2 linked regions of the Anolis sagrei genome follow. The protein of the gene in region 1 binds, or shares a complex with, the protein of each later gene. Links are inferred from orthologs where the notes say so. Each region holds a gene or a part of one and is shown on either strand. Other genes may lie near its edges.

The links.
Region 2: the proteins of FMN2 (region 1) and SPIRE1 are in contact, whole or in part, in a crystal structure (PDB 2YLE), measured with the Homo sapiens proteins. The link is inferred for Anolis sagrei from reciprocal best matches to the Homo sapiens genes FMN2 and SPIRE1. Residues at the interface, in NP_064450.3 of Homo sapiens: Ser1702, Leu1703, Lys1705, Ile1706, Lys1707, Pro1708, Arg1709, His1710, Gly1713, Ile1714, Lys1715, Lys1717, Ile1718, Lys1721, Thr1722; in NP_001122098.1 of Homo sapiens: Gln51, Pro52, Ile53, Asn54, Glu127, Ile131, Tyr134, Lys135, Asp138, Leu141, Lys142, Glu143, Asn144, Glu145, Glu146, Arg147, Glu148, Glu154, Ile157, Asp158, Ala161, Asn162, Thr163, Val164, Glu165.

What each region holds. Positions count from the first base shown.
Region 1 is NC_090021.1:56,808,906-56,817,602, reverse strand, and holds the start of FMN2 (formin-2), read left to right. Parts: upstream 1-4,410; 5' UTR 4,411-4,719; coding exon 4,720-6,250; intron 6,251-8,697. UniProt on the Homo sapiens protein: Actin-binding protein that is involved in actin cytoskeleton assembly and reorganization. Acts as an actin nucleation factor and promotes assembly of actin filaments together with SPIRE1 and SPIRE2.
Region 2 is NC_090024.1:66,244,346-66,253,051, reverse strand, and holds the start of SPIRE1 (protein spire homolog 1), read left to right. Parts: upstream 1-4,883; 5' UTR 4,884-5,025; coding exon 5,026-5,374; intron 5,375-8,706.

The sequences.
Region 1 (8,697 bases):
CTCTTTCAGAATATACTACATGAATGCCTATGCAGTGCAAACTGATCGGGATGAAAGGGAAGGTATGGAGAATTTTAGTTGAATTTTCATGGATGCCTGTGTTGTATAATGTAAGTTTGGTTCTGTGTTATACCTTTTTTTTCTACTTGTTTGCAGTTCTGTTTTATTTGTGTATTTAAATTAATCAGTTAAATTGAAATGTAAATGTTTATATTTGCCCCTATGTATAGAGATCTGAAGGAAGGAAGAGAGAACAGCATTAATCAATTATGAAATAATTTAAATTAATTCAACAAGACCAATAAGGTACAGACATCCATACCGCAGTGGGTCTGAGTCAAGACTTGGTTTCCTGGCCCCAAATTTTGTGATGGACGGTGAAGTTTGAGGATTAGGAGTTTCTGAATCTGTATATTATGTTTCAAACTTTGGAAAATTGTTGTATATTAATTAGCTTAAAATTTTAGAGACACGTGCAAACACCCACCACACTTAAGTCATAATCTTAAACATTCTGCGGGCATATGTTCTTTCTGCTTTTTTATTTTACTTGTGCAGTAGTGTCTCAAATCTTTGAATCAGACATTTAACATGAAACCAAATCTTTTTGAGGTTAACCCACACCTCAAGTTCAGTTGGTTGAGAACAGAAGGAAGCTCAAATGCTATGGCCATATCACCCTGAACATGCCTGATCTTATCTGATCTTGAAAGCTAAGCAGAGTTGGGCCTAGTTAGTACTTGGATGGAAGACCACCTGGGAATACTGGGCGCTGTAAGCTAAAGAATGTTGGGGGTGCTTTGAATGTGATTTTCCTGCTTCTTGGCAGGGGGTTGGACTGGATGGCCCATGAGGTCTCTTCCAACTCTATGATTCTAATGAAAATGCTTAGAGGGCTGTGCGTAGTTTTCTCTTCTTTTCTGTGTAGATTTAGGACCATTTTGTTGACTTGTTAAATTCATCTTGAACAGTGTCATTCTCATTCATTGGGGCTAGCCTTGAAAATGTAGTTTAAAAATAGTTCTTATGCAGACACTTCAGTAGTGTCTCAATTGGCATGAGACATATGGGGGTGGGGTATAAAATGCTTTAAAGTTGTAATTTTTTGAAATGTAGTGTCTGCATACTACAGTAAATGTATACATTGTATAATCCTTAGTCAGTAGCATCATACATATATTCATTCCAGGTCTTGGAAACAAGTAGATGAATTTAACTAGCTGTTTGCACAGTTTGGTGACTCTTCCCCCAATGAAACGTAATGAGTTGATTTGTTGATCAATAGCACTCACTAATGTTGCTGAGATATAACTAGTTAAATTTATTTAGTTGTGTCTTAAAAAATCTCTAGTGAGGCTTTCAAAGTAAGTTTGGTGGCTTTAGAACACACTATTAATATGCTGCAGTAACTAAATGCTTTTCCTCGTTATGCATGGCACAGGGAGCATTCGGAATAGGAGAATTTTAAGAGAGCAGAGAGGTAATTGGGAATTGAAGATTGTAGAAAATGAACTTTGAATCTCTGATCCTTGTGTACAACATACACATTGGAGCATTTATCTACACAAGACCATGGGCCCATCCAGACAGGGCCTTTATTGTGGGAACTCCCACAATAAAGGAGGGGCTGTCCAGACAACATTCTGGACAGTCCTGAATTAATTCACTACAAACTAGGAGAACCCTGGTTTGTAGCGAATAAATTTGATAGTGGATTTATCCTATGCCTTTTTGGAAGGTGCGATAAATGCATTATTTCTGGTGTCTGTTCTACAGTCCAGACACCATTCCCACAGTTTACCGGCTAAATAAGCCTGGTAAACTGTGGGAATACCCACCCTCCCCCCAAGCCCCCAGACCCCTTAGTTAAAAAAAACTTACCAGGCCTGCAGTATACCCTCGGAGCAGCTCTTCCAGTGTATACAAATGACACGCCAGGAGAGCTGGGGGAGGGGGTGGAGAGGAGAAAATCCCTCCCCCATTCTTCTGGCACGTCATTTGTACGTGCCGGGAGAGCTGCTCTGAGGGTATACTGCAGACCTGGTAAGTTTTTGTAACCTTTCTAAGGGGTCTGAGGGCTTGGGGGGAGGGGGGTAGGGCCTCCGGACATTCTCTCAGGCTAGTCTCAAGAGAACGTCTGGATAACCCACCCCAGAATGCGTGCATTATTTTAATGTGGATGCTTCTGGGATAAAGGCCTGTCTGAATCCGGCCCATTTGACTCTGAAAGTTGAAGATGTAGTTATCCAGTATTGCAGAAAAAGTTTTGCATATGTTCTGAATCACTCAAAATACTTCTGAATAAGACTTCTTTACCTTTAGTTCACTGCCTGATGTTTGTAGCTAGCTGCTTTTTGCTGCACTTCAATTTTGCTTTGATTCAATGTGTTGTGACTCAAATGAACAGTCTTCCCCTTATTTATCATCTCCAATTCAAGAAAGGGTAAAAGGTAAAGTAGTTTGTTAGGGGACAATTGTAACCAATTGTGTCATTTTTTTTAAAAAAAGATTGTTAACTATTTTATTAACAAGTTACTTCACAGTAACAGAACCTATTAAATTCTAGATGTCTCAATATTAACAGTTGCACATTTTCCCACTTTTGGAATAACCAATCTGTCTGCCAGTTCCTTTTCTTTTCTTTCTTTCCATTACTTCTCTTTTTGTCAGCAACTAAAGACCTTTTCATATAAGCAGGCTCTTGGCCTTTAACCTGTTGTGGTTGAATAGGAGGTGTTATACTTTTATCCTATTTAATGCATTAAAGTGCTTCAACTTGTCTTAAACAGTTTTATTTTAGAACAATTGGCCCTTCCTAGCCATGAATTCTGCGTGCACACATTTCCTCATCAACAACTTGAATTTTAAGAAAAATTCCAAAAGCAAACCTTAATGTAATGGACATTGTTGTACTAAACAATTGCATATAAACAAACAAATAAATAAATAATCCCCATGGATTATTCATGAGTCACTATATTTTAATGAAATTGCTTATATTTTTTTAAAAGTCATGTGGATCTTAGATATGTTTTGTTCTAATTTGTTATAAGTAGCTTTAGGTCCCATACCAGGAGAAAAGCAGGATACAAAATAAATGAGTGAAATAAATGTTAAGGAATCACTGTTTTTGTTTTGTGTATTTTGATACATATTTTATGGAGGTATATTTTAATATGTGTATTTTACAGAATGTTTTAAAATGATTGTATGTTGTTTATGTTTTCATAATGCTCTAACCTGCCTTGAGCTGTGAGGACAGGCGGGCAAGAAATAAAACTATTCTTCTTCTTCTTCTTCTTCTTCTTCTTCTTATTATTATTATTATTATTAAACCTAAAATTACAATATTTTGGTCTATTAGCAGTACTGCCAGTTGGTTCAATAAATATCTGTATGCAAGTTGGAAGTGATCTGTGAATTCAGTGGAGTAGATTTTTTTTAATAAAAAGGACACATCTTTATTTTCCTTATCCATTTTTAATTATCTGGTTTTTTTCTGATAATGATATACAGTATCTGGTATAGGCTGCTGCTAAGGTCATGGAACAGATGGGACTTGGGGCTGATTTGCAATAGCAGGCCTTATACTGCTCTTGTTCCGTAGATACATTACTTTTAAAATGGCAATCCCATGATCATAAAACTATAAGGCTGATGTGTGTGTATTACAGTAAGGATTAATTTATATAAACCACTACCAGGAAGAGAAGCAATTATACTTAATGAGCCATACAATATGTTAAAAGTCATTGTTATAGAACATATAGATATGACCTGAAGCATAACTTGTTTTAGATCTTGGTGATAGTGTAATTATTTATACCAGAGCGAGGCTAGGGGAACAATCTATGTGAGCTGAATATTGATGAACTTTATCCCTTTGAGGATTACCATTATTTGTGTCCTTTTGGCATACAGATGGCTTATTTCTGAATGGTCATATAGAACAAAAAATTAAATAATCTGCAGTATTGTTAGCCTTTAAAATTTCAGGGAATTATTGTGTTAATGTTTTGTTTAAAAAATGTAAAAGTTTGTGAGAGAGTTTCAAAACCAGAATACTGTCTGAATTTTTACAAAATTGAATGCACAGTACTTGTACATATATTGCATTTTAGCAAAATGTGAATTAAAGCATCATTTTTTTTTTTACAAAGGTTAAAAATACTACTTTTTTCAGGGAACAGCCAGAAAGTTTTATGTGAAGCCTGAGTTTTAATTTCCCTCTTTCTTTTTCTTGCTCTCTTTTCCTTCCCAACATAAAATTCCAGGAAGTCAAACTTTTGAAGTCTTGAAATTTAAGACATGCAACGACAAACTGATCCACCCCCAGTAACAATGCAGGGGATTCAGGCAGTGGAGGGAAAAAATCCTGTTGTCAAGGCATCCTTATTCACATCAACCAAAGGGAGCCTGGAGTGTAGCAGCAGACTCTGTCTGAAGAGGCAACGCTGCCACGAGCCACCATTGGAAGGAGCTGTCTGCATCTCTCGGTGCTCTACTGAGCATGTCCCAGAGGAGCTCTATGCCAGCAGCACATTATGCAAAAAAGCAGCTCGAGCAGCTGAGAGGGAGGCAGAACAAGCCTTTGCTCCACTTGCATCACCGCTGCTTGAAAACAAACCTGGATTACCCGAAAGGTCTCCGCTGCCAGGCCAGCTGAATGAAACCGAACGACATGACTTGATTCCTGATGCTGCACCACTGCAAAGCAATATGGGGAATCAAGATGGGAAACTGAAGAAGAATGCAGGTGATGCACACGATGGAGGTGAGGATGCTTCAGGGCCCAGGGATGCGGATGGCACAAAGAAGGGAGCAGGGAGCAAAAAGGGACTGGGGAAGCATGGCAAAGGGAATGAATCGGGTAAAAAGAAGGGCAAGTCAGAGTCCCGAGGCTCTGTGTTTTCCAATCTGCGGATCAGAAAGAATCTCTCCAAAGCAAAGGATGGAAACAGCAGCTCAAGAGAGGATGTTTTAGAAAGCCAGGCCTCACAAACAGGGGAGCTAGACAGCGCTCATTCAGTCCTCACCAAAACTCCTGATATTAGCATTTCTGCAGATGAGGGGGGTCTCTCAGACACAGATGTGGAACATTTTGAACATACAAATGAAACTCGCCCAGCTGCAGCCGAGCCGCAGGATGGACAAAGGACCAGCTCCGGCTCCGATACGGATATATACAGTTTCCATTCAGCCACAGAACAAGAGGATTTGCTTTCTGATATCCAGCAGGCTATTAGACTGCAACTGCAGCAGCAGCAGGGGGCAATTAATATTGGAACTGAGCAGAATGGCACCAAAACAATGGGCCTACACATGGCTAATTCTCAAGCAGCCCCCTTCGATTTTGAAAGGTTTCTTTCATTAAGCAGTGACAAAGACAGCAGTCCAGAAACAGAACAACCTGTCTCAGCTAAATCGGAAATTGCAGACTATATCCCTACAAGTGATATCGAAAGTGGAGTGAAAGGGGTGACAAATGGAACAGGGCATTCCTGCAGCAGTGTATTTGATGTGCAAGAAGAACATAAGCAGTTGCCAGAAGAGCAAAGGCAATCTGCCAGTGAACAAAAAGCTGCAGCAACAGAAAATGGGACTCTGCTAGCCAGAACAGTGTTTAATTTCCCATCACCAATTGGGGAATCGGAAACTGAGGTGATGGCTTTTGAATTTTCAGGTTCAGAAAGGGAGGAAGAGGATATTGCTGACACAAGCCACAGCCAAGCTGAAGGAGCCAAAGACAGGAAAAGGAGTATATCAGCTAGCAGGGAGGCCTTAGATGATGGCTTTACTGCTACAATAAAAAATGGAACTCTGTCCTCCAATGATGTCTCAAGTAGTCCTATGCATAGTTCCAAAGGTTTAAAGCCCTTTCCTCCCATTAACCCATGCTATATCAAAACCACCACTAGGCAGTTGAGTTCTCCAAATCATTCGCCCTGTCTGTCGCCATCCCAAAGTCCACTCTTCAAAAGGAGACGTGAGTCTGCTCAGAGGAAAGAAAATGTGTCATCCAAGAAGCAGAGGTCATCCAGTTTGGCTGGTCCATTTAGCCGATCAGCAGACTGGACAGATGAGGTTTTCAATCATCGAGGTGATGTAGCTCAAAAGTCAGGCTCTGCAGATTTCTTGGAGTACAGACGGAGTAGAGACGGCTTCCAGGGAGAGAGAGTGCCTTTGAATCACTTGAGAAAGTCCTCTGGGACTCCAGCTTCCACTGACACCTTCCCCAATGTTTTTACAGGTGAGTGCTAATTGTAAATGAACATTAGCTGTTGACTCAAGTCTTAGGAGTAAGCTCTTCATACAGAACTAATAATGCAGGTTTTCTATTTTAGATTAGATCAGTGGTTCTCAACCTGTGGGTCCCCAGGTGTTTTGGCCTACAACTCCCAGAAACCTCAGTCTGTTTACCAGGTGTTAGGATTTCTGGGAGTTGCAGACTAAAACATCTGGGGACCCACAGGTTGAGAACCACCGGATTAGATTAAAAACCCAAATTCTGCATATATATATATGTATGTGTGTATATATATATATCAGATTCCATTGGAAATGAATGTATGGCAAAGCATCAATTTAGAACTCTTCTAGGTGAGATATATTAAGTATATGCATTGGGCAACTAATATTGTGTGTAGTAATAGTGTCTTGTGTGATTAACATTCAAAGTGCTTTACATTCTTAATAGGGAGCTACTCATCTTTGCAACAGGGTGCATTAATGAAAGCTAATGATCTGACCAAGGCCTCCCAATGAATAAATCTAGACCAGCCAAACACAATTGAATCTAGACCAGCCAAACTACACACGGTTTTGTTCACTGGGCTGATTTCTTATATAACTTTTGATACATTTCTGTTTCCTAATATTTTGTGTCTTGTTTCTTTACAACAATATTGAAAGTTCAGATGTTTTCCATTCTTGAGAACATAAACTTGGAATAACAATGGGCAGTGAGCCAGATTTCAGGCCCCTTCTCCATGCAGATATCTACTGAAACCTTACATAGTTTCAGTATTGATTTCCACAGCCTTGCTTTGCTTTATTCTGATGCTTAAAACCATTTTATGAAGTTAGTAGTGAGGTACCAGGCAAGAAAATTGATGGAGATGCTTTTTGCTTTGCTTCAAATACTTTTTGGTTCTGACCACTATAATGATATCTTGTGATGCTCTGTTCAAACCCAGAAGCACTTGAGAGAAAGAGAAAACAGCTCAACACTTCACTTGCATCAGGTGCACTTTTAAGAAAGATTTATTACCCAGTGGGTTGCACAAATAGTTTTGTACACATTAGCTCTTACTCTTGACACTGTCCAGCTAAAACATATGGGATCTGCCCCCCTACTACTTACAAAATGATTATGTTATAGGTCCCCAAGGCCTTGATGTACCCTCAAAAATCCATTATAAGAGTCCAGAGGTTTTCGGACAGTGGTTCTCAACCTGTGGGTCCCCAGATGTTTTGGCCTTCAACTTCCTGAAATCCTAACAGCAGGTAAACTGGCTGGGATTTCTGGGAGTTGTAGGCCAAAACATCTGACGACTCACATGTTGAGAACCACTGTTGTAGGAGAAAAGGAAGTATGTGCAATAGCTGCCTGGCCTATCCCAACAGTGTTTAGCAGCACCATAGGATCTTACGTTTGTAAAAGTGGTAACAGTGTCAGCTAGAACGAGCGCCCTGAAGCAATACCAGATGTTTAACTATGCTGCATGCTGACACTGAGACTTCTGGGTTGGTATTTACTGTGCCTCAGCTTCTCGGCCGAATGCCATCTGGTAGCTAAACATTGACAATATACAGTATAATCTATAATTCCATTTATGTAAAAGCATGTCTTAGGATGCATCTGCTCTGTAGAATGAATGCAGTTTGACACCACTTTAACTGTCATGGCTCAATACTATGGAGTCCTGGGAGTTGTAGTTTTCCAAGGTACCTTACCCTTTCTGCTGAAGAGTGCTGGTGCCTCACCAAACAATAAAACCCAGGATTCCATAGAAGTAAACCATGTCAGTACTACACTCATTTGACAGTGTAGATTTAACTTAGATCAAGAGCTGACCAACCATCTTGCCTTCCAGATATTCTTACATTGCACTCCCTTTCAGTTTTAGTCAGCATAGTGAAAGGTAAATAATTATGGCATTATCTAAAACTGTCTGGAAGAACTTGGTAGCCCATAAAGATGCACTGTATGCCAAAATAGATATTATTTTAGCACCAGCATCCTATTCTTTCCTAAACCAAGCAAATGGTTTTTCTAATATTCCACTTCTTCCATCTTGCACAAAAGAGTTTTGCATATGACCTGGGCCATCCATTGGTACAAGTTCTTGAAAACAATTTATCATTGACATGGTTCTTCACTGAGTTTGTGTGTTAGGTGATGTTTCTCCATTGGAGCAGATGTTTTGTTCTTCTTCATTTAGTCACATTGACTCTAGCATGTTCTGAAGACATATTAAAGAATAATACTCTGCAGAATGCAATGACCAGAGTTTTAGAAGGTACTGCTGTCCAAAGTTTTGTTCAATTCACACTAATATGTTTTGCTGAAACTACAGATGTTATAAAGATTATTGGATTGTAGAAATGGAAAGAGGATTTGTTTATATTCACCTCCTTGATGCAAAAACGTGCCTTTATAATTCAAGACCCTCTATTCAAAATAAGACAGTATTT
Region 2 (8,706 bases), on another chromosome or scaffold:
TAGAAGGGCCCTCCCTCTGCCAGGGAAGCGGCAGGCAGGGAAGGACAGGGGGCTGTTTCCCCTGGCTGCCAGCCAAACAAACAAAGGTAGACAGAGGCTGGCAAGAAAACCAGCAGTGGAAATCCCTCCCCCAGACGATCATCGACCACCCTGTAAAACAAGGCATATATCGCCAAGGCAAGCTAAGCGACTACTTAGGGAAACTCTGGTAAAGAAGGGAAGGATGAATACCCCCAAAGCAAAGCTTGACAAAGAATTAAAAGACCCCAAAAACCCGGGTAGAAGAGGCTCGGGGCAAGAGGACATTAACATGAAAGACATCCTGAAAGAACTTCAAAAACTATCGGAAAAAATAACTGAAAATCAAGAAGAGAACAAGAAAGAACTGAAGTCCATTAGGGAAAGCCAAATCAAACAACAGGCCCAACTTGAGCTAATGAGGAAAGAGTTTAAAGAAGACCTAGGTACTATTAGAAAGGACATTATGAAGAACTCTAACGACATAAATATAATTAAGAACGATAGCTGCAAGCTAGGGAAGGAGCAAAAAAAGATGCAACGCGAACTAGAAGAACTATCGGCAAAAAATGACAGGACTATAAGGGAGCTGGAACATGCCCAGCAAGAGGAGATGGAATATTTTTTGAGACTGAGGAATCTTCAGGAAGAATCTCAAGAAGATCTAAGAGCAAAAATTATTAATCTACTGGCAACCCACACCGACATACCAGAAGGAACAATTCAACAAGAAATAGACCGCACCTACCGAGTTCAATCGTCCTTCGCCAAACAAAACAAGGTTGCAAGAGACGTGATGGTGCGTTTCACGCGCAAATATACTAGAGATGAAATCCTGAGACAATCTAATAAAAACCCTTTAACACTAGATGGAAAGAAAATCATAGTACTCAAAGAAATTCCTAAATCAATACTGGACAGACGCAAAAAATATTCGTTTTTAACCCAAGAACTGAAGAGACGCAGCATCAAATTTAGGTGGGACAAATCGGAAGGTCTAATGGGCACCTTCAAAGATGAGAGATATTGGATTAAAAGTGAGGAGAAGGCTAAAGCCTTTCTACAAAGGATAAAAAGAGAAGGCACAACATCCCAGGTAGAAGAATCACCATCAACAGGAAACACAAGGAAGCGTCTCCGACCGAATACCCCGACCAAAGAAGATGAAAAACCAGACCGGGCGATGGCGCTGACTATGACTATGGACAACGTAGAAACTGGATTAGGCGATGCCAAGTTTAGTCTTGATGAGTCATTGGCGAGGGTCTCAGTGGTCTCAGGAAGTGAGTGAAGTGACTGCAAGTCCCATCATCCATTGTCAAATTCTTCCAAACCGCACCAGGATGTAGAGTGAGTTATGCAGGCTCTCTGTGTAAATTGTGGTCCTGATCCATCATCGTTGGCAGTTGTAATGGTCTTAGGAAGGGAGTGCAGGTAATGCAAGTTCCATCATCCATGGTGCATCCTCCCTCAAACTGCACCTGGATGTAGAGTGCGTCATGGAGACTCAGTGTGCCAAGTTTGGTATTTATCGGTAATTGGATGAGGGTTGCAGTGGTCTGAAGAATTGAGCAGTGGTACTGCAAGTCCCATAATCCACGGTCCATCTCGGCCAAACCACACCAGGACGTAAAGTGGGTCATGAGAGGTCTCTGTGTGAAATTTGGTCCTGATCAGTCATTGGATAAGGTTAACAGCGGTCTCAGAATGTGAGTGGTGGTACTGCAAGTCCCATCATCCATGGTTCCTAGTCCTCCAAACTGCAGTAGGATGTAGAGTGGGTGATAGGGGCTCTGTGTGCCTATTTCGGTCTGTATTGGTAGTGTTCTGACTCAGCCCCCTCTGGCCTTTTCCTTTCCTCTCTTTCTCATCTCGGAATGTTGGATTTGAGGCTGGCCAATCAGAGGCCATATGCAAATTTCCTTCTGTCATGCCCCGTTTCTGCCATGAACCCTCTTCTCCACCAGGGGCTCCTATTGAAGCTGCCCAATCAGAGACCATATGCAAATAGCAGCATAGTGGCAGCCAATCAGAACGCTGCCACAAACTTTTCCGCCCTACGTCCTCCCTCCACATACAAACACTCTTCTTTATTATATACTAGCTTGGGGACCCGGCGTTGCCCGGGTTATTAGAGAAAGTAGGTAATGGCGGTTCTGTATGCCAAGTTTGGACTTTATTGGTCTTTGGATAATGGCTGCATTATTTTCAGGAAGTGAGTGAAGGTACCTGAAGTCCCATCATCCATGGGCCATCCTCCTACAAACAGCAGCAGGATATAGAGTGGGTCATGGGGGCTCTGTGTGCCAAGTTTGGTCTTTATCAGTCATTAGATGAGGGTGGCAGTGGTGTCAGTAAGTGAGTGAAGGTACTGCAAGTCCCATCATCCATTGTCAAATTCTTCCAATCCGCACCAGGATGTAGAGTGGGTCATGCTGGGTCTCTGTGTAAATTGTGGTCCTGATCCATCATTGTTGTCAGTTGTAATGGTCTTAGGAAGGGAGTGCAGGTATTGCAAGTCCCATCGTCCATGGTGCACCCTCCTTCAAACTGCACCTGGATGTAGAGTGCGTCATGGAGACTCAGTGTGCCAAGTTTGGTCTTTATCGGTAATTGGATGAGCGTTGCAGTGGTCTCAGGAATTGCGCAAAAGTACTGCAAGTCTCATAATCCATGGTCTATCCCCAGCCAAACACACACCAGGAGGTAAAGTGGGTCATGAGAGGTCTATGTGGCAAGTTTGGTCCTGATCAGACATTGGATGAGGTTAACAGCGGTCTCAGAATGTGAGTGATGGTACTGTAAGTCCCATCATCCAAAGTCGATCCTCCTTCAAACTGCAGCAGGATGCAGAGTGGGTCATGGGGGCTCTGTGTGCCAAGTTTGATCTTGATCAGACATTAGATGAGGGTTGCAGCTGTCTTGGGAAGGGAGTGGAGGTACTTGAAGTCCCATCATCCATAGTCTGTTCTCTCCCAAACCTCACCAGAATGTTGAGTTGGCCATGGGAGCTCTGTGTGCCAAGTTTGGTCTTCATCAGTCATTGGATGAGGGTCTCAGTGGTTTCACTGAGTGAAGGTACTCTAAGTCCCATCATCCATGGTGCATCATCCTCCAAACCATACCAGGATGTAGAGTGCATAATGGAGACCCGGTGTGCCAAGTTTGGTCCTTATCAGAAATTGGATGATGTTTTGCAGTGGTCTCAGAAATTGAGCGAAGGTACTGCAAGTCCCAAAATCCATGCACGATCCACAGTCAAACCTCACCAGGGCATAAAGTGGGTCATGAGAGGTCTATGTGCCAAGTTTGGTGTTGTTCAGTCATTGTTGAGGGTCGCAGCAGTCTCGGAAAGCGAGTAGAGGTACTTCAAGTCCCATCATCCATGGCATGCCCTACTCCAAACCGTATTAGGATGTAGAGTGGGTCATGGGGGCTCTGTGTGCCAAGTTTGGTTTTGTTTGGACATTAGATGAGGGTTGCAGCAGTCTTGGGAAGGGAGTGGAGGTACTTCAAGTCCCATCATCCATGGTCTGTCCTCCTCGAAAGTGCACCAGGATGTAGAGTGGGTCATGGGGGACTCTGTTTGCCAAGTTTGGTCTTGATCAGTCATTGGCGAGGGTCGCAGTGATCTCAGGAAGTGAGTGAAATGATTGCAAGTCCCATCATCCATTGCCAAATTCTTCCAAACCGCACCAGGATGTAGAGTGGGTCATGCAGGCTCTCAGTGTAAATTGTGGTCCTGATCCATCATCGTTGGCAGTTGTAATGGTCTTAGGAAGGGAGTTTAGGTATTGTAAGTCCCATCGTCCATGGTGCATCCTCCTTCAAACTGCACCTGGATGTAGAGTGCGTCATGGAGACTCAGTGTGCCAAGTTTGGTATTTATCGGTAATTGGATGAGGGCTGCAGTGGTCTGAAGAATTGAGCAATGGTACTGCAAGTCCCATAATCCACGGTCCATCCCCGGCCAAACCACACCAGGACGTACAGTGGGTCATGAGAGGTCTATGTGCGAAGTTTGGTCCTGATCAGTCACTGGATGAGGTTAACAGCAGTCTCAGAATGTGAGTGGTGGTACTGCAAGTCCCATCATCCATGGTTCATCCTCCTCCAAACTGCAGTAGGATGTAGAGTGGGTGATGGGGGCTCTGTGTGCCAATTTCGGTCTGTATTGGTAGTGTTCTGACCCAGCCCCCGGCCTTTCCTTTCCTCTCTTTCTCATCTCGGAATCTTGCATTTGAGGCTGGCCAATCAGAGACCATATGCAAATTTCCTTCTGTCATGCCCCGTTTCTGCCATGAACCCTCTTCTCCACCAGGGGCTCCTATTGAAGCTGGCCAATCAGAGACCATATGCAAATAGCACCACAGCGGCAGCCAATCAGAACGCTGGCACATACACTTCCGCCCTCCCTCCGTCCTTCCTCTGTCCTATACAAACAAACACTCTTCTTTATTATATATACAGATATAGATACAGATATAGATATAGATAGATAGACATAGATAGATAGATTGATTGATTGTTTGGTAACATTAATAAGCTGAGCCAAGTCTACAAGGACTTTGTTAATAAATACCCTGTTTAATGTTTAATCTTGAAGTGGTCTCAGTTATTCAAGAAAGCTCAATCTTCTAAAGAAAGACCCCAGCAGTTTCGCCCAGACATAGATAGCAGTACATCAGAGTTTGTTTTATAAAGCGTCTGGGCGTAACGGCACAGAACAACCAAAGACAAACCAAAGACACCCATCCTTGCGTGCTGTGTTTCCTGCTGCGCGCGCGCCGGCCGGAGGAGGGCGCCGGTGCGCGAGGGGCGCTCCCGCGTGCTGGGCGGGGCCTGCTCCTCCTCCTCCTCCAGTGGATTGCTGGCGGCAGGCGCGCGCTGCGTCGGGCGCCTCACGCGCTCTCTTTCCCGAGGCGGCGAAGCAGGAGGTGGGCGGAGCCTATCGGGAGATGCGGGCCACTTGAAGCGGCGCAGCCGAGGCGAGCGGAGCTAGAGGGAATGGCTGCGGCGGCGGCGGGAGGCAGCGAGGAGCCCTTGCCGGGCCCTTCGGGGCTCCGCAGGGGAGGACGAGGCGACGGCGAGAAGGACGAGGACGACGACGAGGAGGAGGCGCCCTTGGCTCCACTGCGGGAGGCGCTCTCTCTGGAGGAGATCCTGAGGCTCTACAACCAGCCCATCAACGAGGAGCAGGCCTGGGCCGTGTGCTACCAGTGCTGCGGGTCTCTCCGGAGAGAGTCGTCGTCGTCGCCGCTGGGACGCCGGGTGGAGAGCCCCGCCGACATCCGCATCGCCAGGGACGGCGCCGTCACCTTGGACCGAGGAGGAGGAGGAGGCCCCGGAGGAGCAGGTAGGAGCCCTCCGTTCCCATGGCGACGGCCCCCCTCCCGTCTCCTAGCAACGCAGGGGGAGAGCCCCTCCCTGCCCGGGGGATCCGTTGCTAGGGGGAGAATCCTCTCCTAGCAACGGACCCCCGCCTTGCCCTTGCTGTCCCCTCCTTCCCTCACGTTATCCTTAGCTCGCCTTTCTCTCTCATGTTTATATATTGGGCCTTCCTTATCCGCTGGGGTTTGGTCCCGGGAATCCGCAAAACCCTAAGCAAATTGTGACCAAGATTGCAAATCAGGCCTGGGCAAACTGCGGCCCTCCTGATGTTTTGGACTTCAACTCCCACAATTCCTAACAGCCGCTGTTAGGAATTGTAGGAGTTGAAGTCCAAAACATCAGGAGGGCCACAGTTTGCCCATGCTTGCTGTAAATACTATAACTTCTACTACTAATCTATATAAATAAAAATACAGTGGTCAATGTATTGTCGAAGGCTTTCATGGCTGGAATCACTAGGTTCTTGTGGGTTTTTTCGGGCTATAGGGCATTTCTCCTGACGTTTCGCCTGCATCTATGGCAAGCATCCTCAGAGGTAGTGAGGTCTGTTGGAAATAGGACAAAATCCGCGGCGGCATGGTATACGGTAAAACTATTAAAACAGACCTCACTACCTCTGAGGATGCTTGCCATAGATGCAGGCGAAACGTCAGGAGAAATGCCTCTAGAACATGGCCCTATAGCCCGAAAAAACCCACAAGAACCTAATGCAATGTTCATTTGTGGGATTAATATAACTCAAAAACCACTGGACTAATTGACACCAAATTTGGACACAATACACCTTTCAGGCCAATGAGTGACCATCACTCATAAAAACACAGAAAAACATAGCAGAAGATACTTAAGAAGCCAAAAAACAAAAATTACATCACAACACATGCACAAAACCACATATATACACAAACATACATATATACACACATAAACAAACATACACACACTCATATACACACACACAAAACACATATACAGAGACTGGGCCACAGCAACGTGTGGCAGGGGATGGCTATTAAATAATAAAGGAGACGCTAATGATGTTGGTTTTTATGGCTTCTGTTGTGGTTTTATATTGTTTTTAATGTTTTAATTTGTATTATGATATTATGTGTACTGATTTGTTGTTAACCCGCCCTGAGTCGCCGACAGGCTGAGAAAGGCCGTATACCAATACAGTAAATATAAATAAAATAATAAATAAATAAACTTTATTTATATTTTTCCCCCTTCTTCCCAAAGGGACCCAGGAAGGCCTACAGCCAAACAAACAAATACAGTAAATGGTATAACACTGACAAAGATCACATATCAATTTGTGAAAGCAAAATAGCAGGATAATGAAGTGCTCTTGTATTTAGCCCCCTGGTGGCGCAGCATGTTAAACCGCTGAGCTTGCTGACCAAAAGGTTGGCGGTTCGAATCTGGGGAAAGGGGTGAGCTCCCGCTGTTAGCCCCAGCTTCTGTCAACCTAGCAGTTTGAAAACATGCAAATGTGAGTAGATCAGTACATGCTGCTCTGGTGGGAAGGTAATGGTCCTCCATGTAGTAATGCTGGCCCCATGACCTTGGAGGTGTCTACGAACAACGCCGGCTCTTCGGCTTAGAAATGGAGATGAGCACCATCCCCCAGAGTTGAACACGATTTGACTTAATGTTGGGGGAAAACTTTTACCTTTACATAATAATAATAATAATAATAATAATAATAAGGTATTTATATCCCACCCCTCTCCCCAAAGGGACTTGGGTGGCTTACAGCAAAATAAACAAATACAGTAAATGTGTTTGTCAAAGGCTTTAATGGCTAGAATCACTGGGTTGCTGTGAGTTTTCCGGGCTGTATAGCCATGTTCCAGAAGCATTCTCTCCTGATGTTTCGCCCACATCTGTGGCAGGAATCCTCAGAGATTGTGAGGTCTGTTGGAAACAACGCAAGTAAGGTTTATATATCTGTTGAAGGTCCAAGGTGAGAGAAAGAACTCTTGTCTGTTAAAGGCAAGTATGAATGCTTCAATTGAACACCTTGATTAGCACAGCCTAGAAGTCAGCCGTAGCAGAACACCTGATGAACCAACCTGGACACAGCATATGACTTGAGAACACAGAAATGCTGGGCCACTCTAACAATCACCATGTCCGATTACACAGAGAAGCCATTGTACTCCACAAGCATGTGGACAATTTCAACAGAAAGGAGGAAACCATGAAAATGGACAAAATCTGGCTACCAGTATTAAAAAATCTCTAAAATCAGGACAGTAATTAAAAAGGAACATTCAAACACCAGGGGAATTCCAGACAGGAAACAATCAGGGCCAGGTAACACCTCCCAAACAAAGGATTCCTCCAGGCAGGAAGCAGCCAAGTCTTGAAGCTGCAAGGTTATTCAGTGCTAATCATGGTGATCAGTTGCAACATTCACACTTGCCTCAGGCAGACAAGAATTCTTTCTCCCACCCTGGACATTCCACAGACATAAAAAACCCCACTTGCTTTGTTTCCAACAAACCTCACAATCTCTGAGGATGCCTGCCATAGATGTGGGTGAAATGTCAGGAGAGAATGCCATACAGCCCGAAAAACTCACAGCAACCCAGAATGCAGTAAATGATATAACACAGACAATAATTGCATACCAGTTTATAAAAGCAAAATAGCATGATAATGTAAACATAAATTTAAAAAGTTTAAAAGACGATTTATCCCTCTAAAAACAGTGTGTGTGTGTGTGTATGTATGTATCTATGTGTGTGTGTGTATGTATGTATCTATGTGTGTGTGTGTGTGTGTGTGTATATATATATATATATACATACTGTTTAAAACCAGCTAATTCCTATGATCAGAGTATGATACATTCCTATGATACATTTTATTTATTACCCCCTCTCCGAATGGCTACAGGCAGAGTGCAACAAATTCAAAAACAAATGCACATAAACAAACAAGAAATTACTAAATTACATAGATAAAGGTACATAAATATATAATGCAATCTAACACCTTTACTGCTGGCTTGAGGCAGGGTACAACAAATTCAAAAATACATGAAGATTAAAAAATATAATGAATTACCAAATAAGTTAGATAGATAAAAACACATAAATATATAAAGACATAAATATGTAACGTTACACAACAGTTTTACTGCATTATAAATACCTATTCCAGATATCAACTCTCAAGCAACCAACCCCAAAAAACCAAAGAGTGCTTCAAATAAAAAGTTTAAAAAATCATATTTTATCTAATACTATAAAACACGTTGATCCATGTTTAGCTGCCATCTTTCTATTA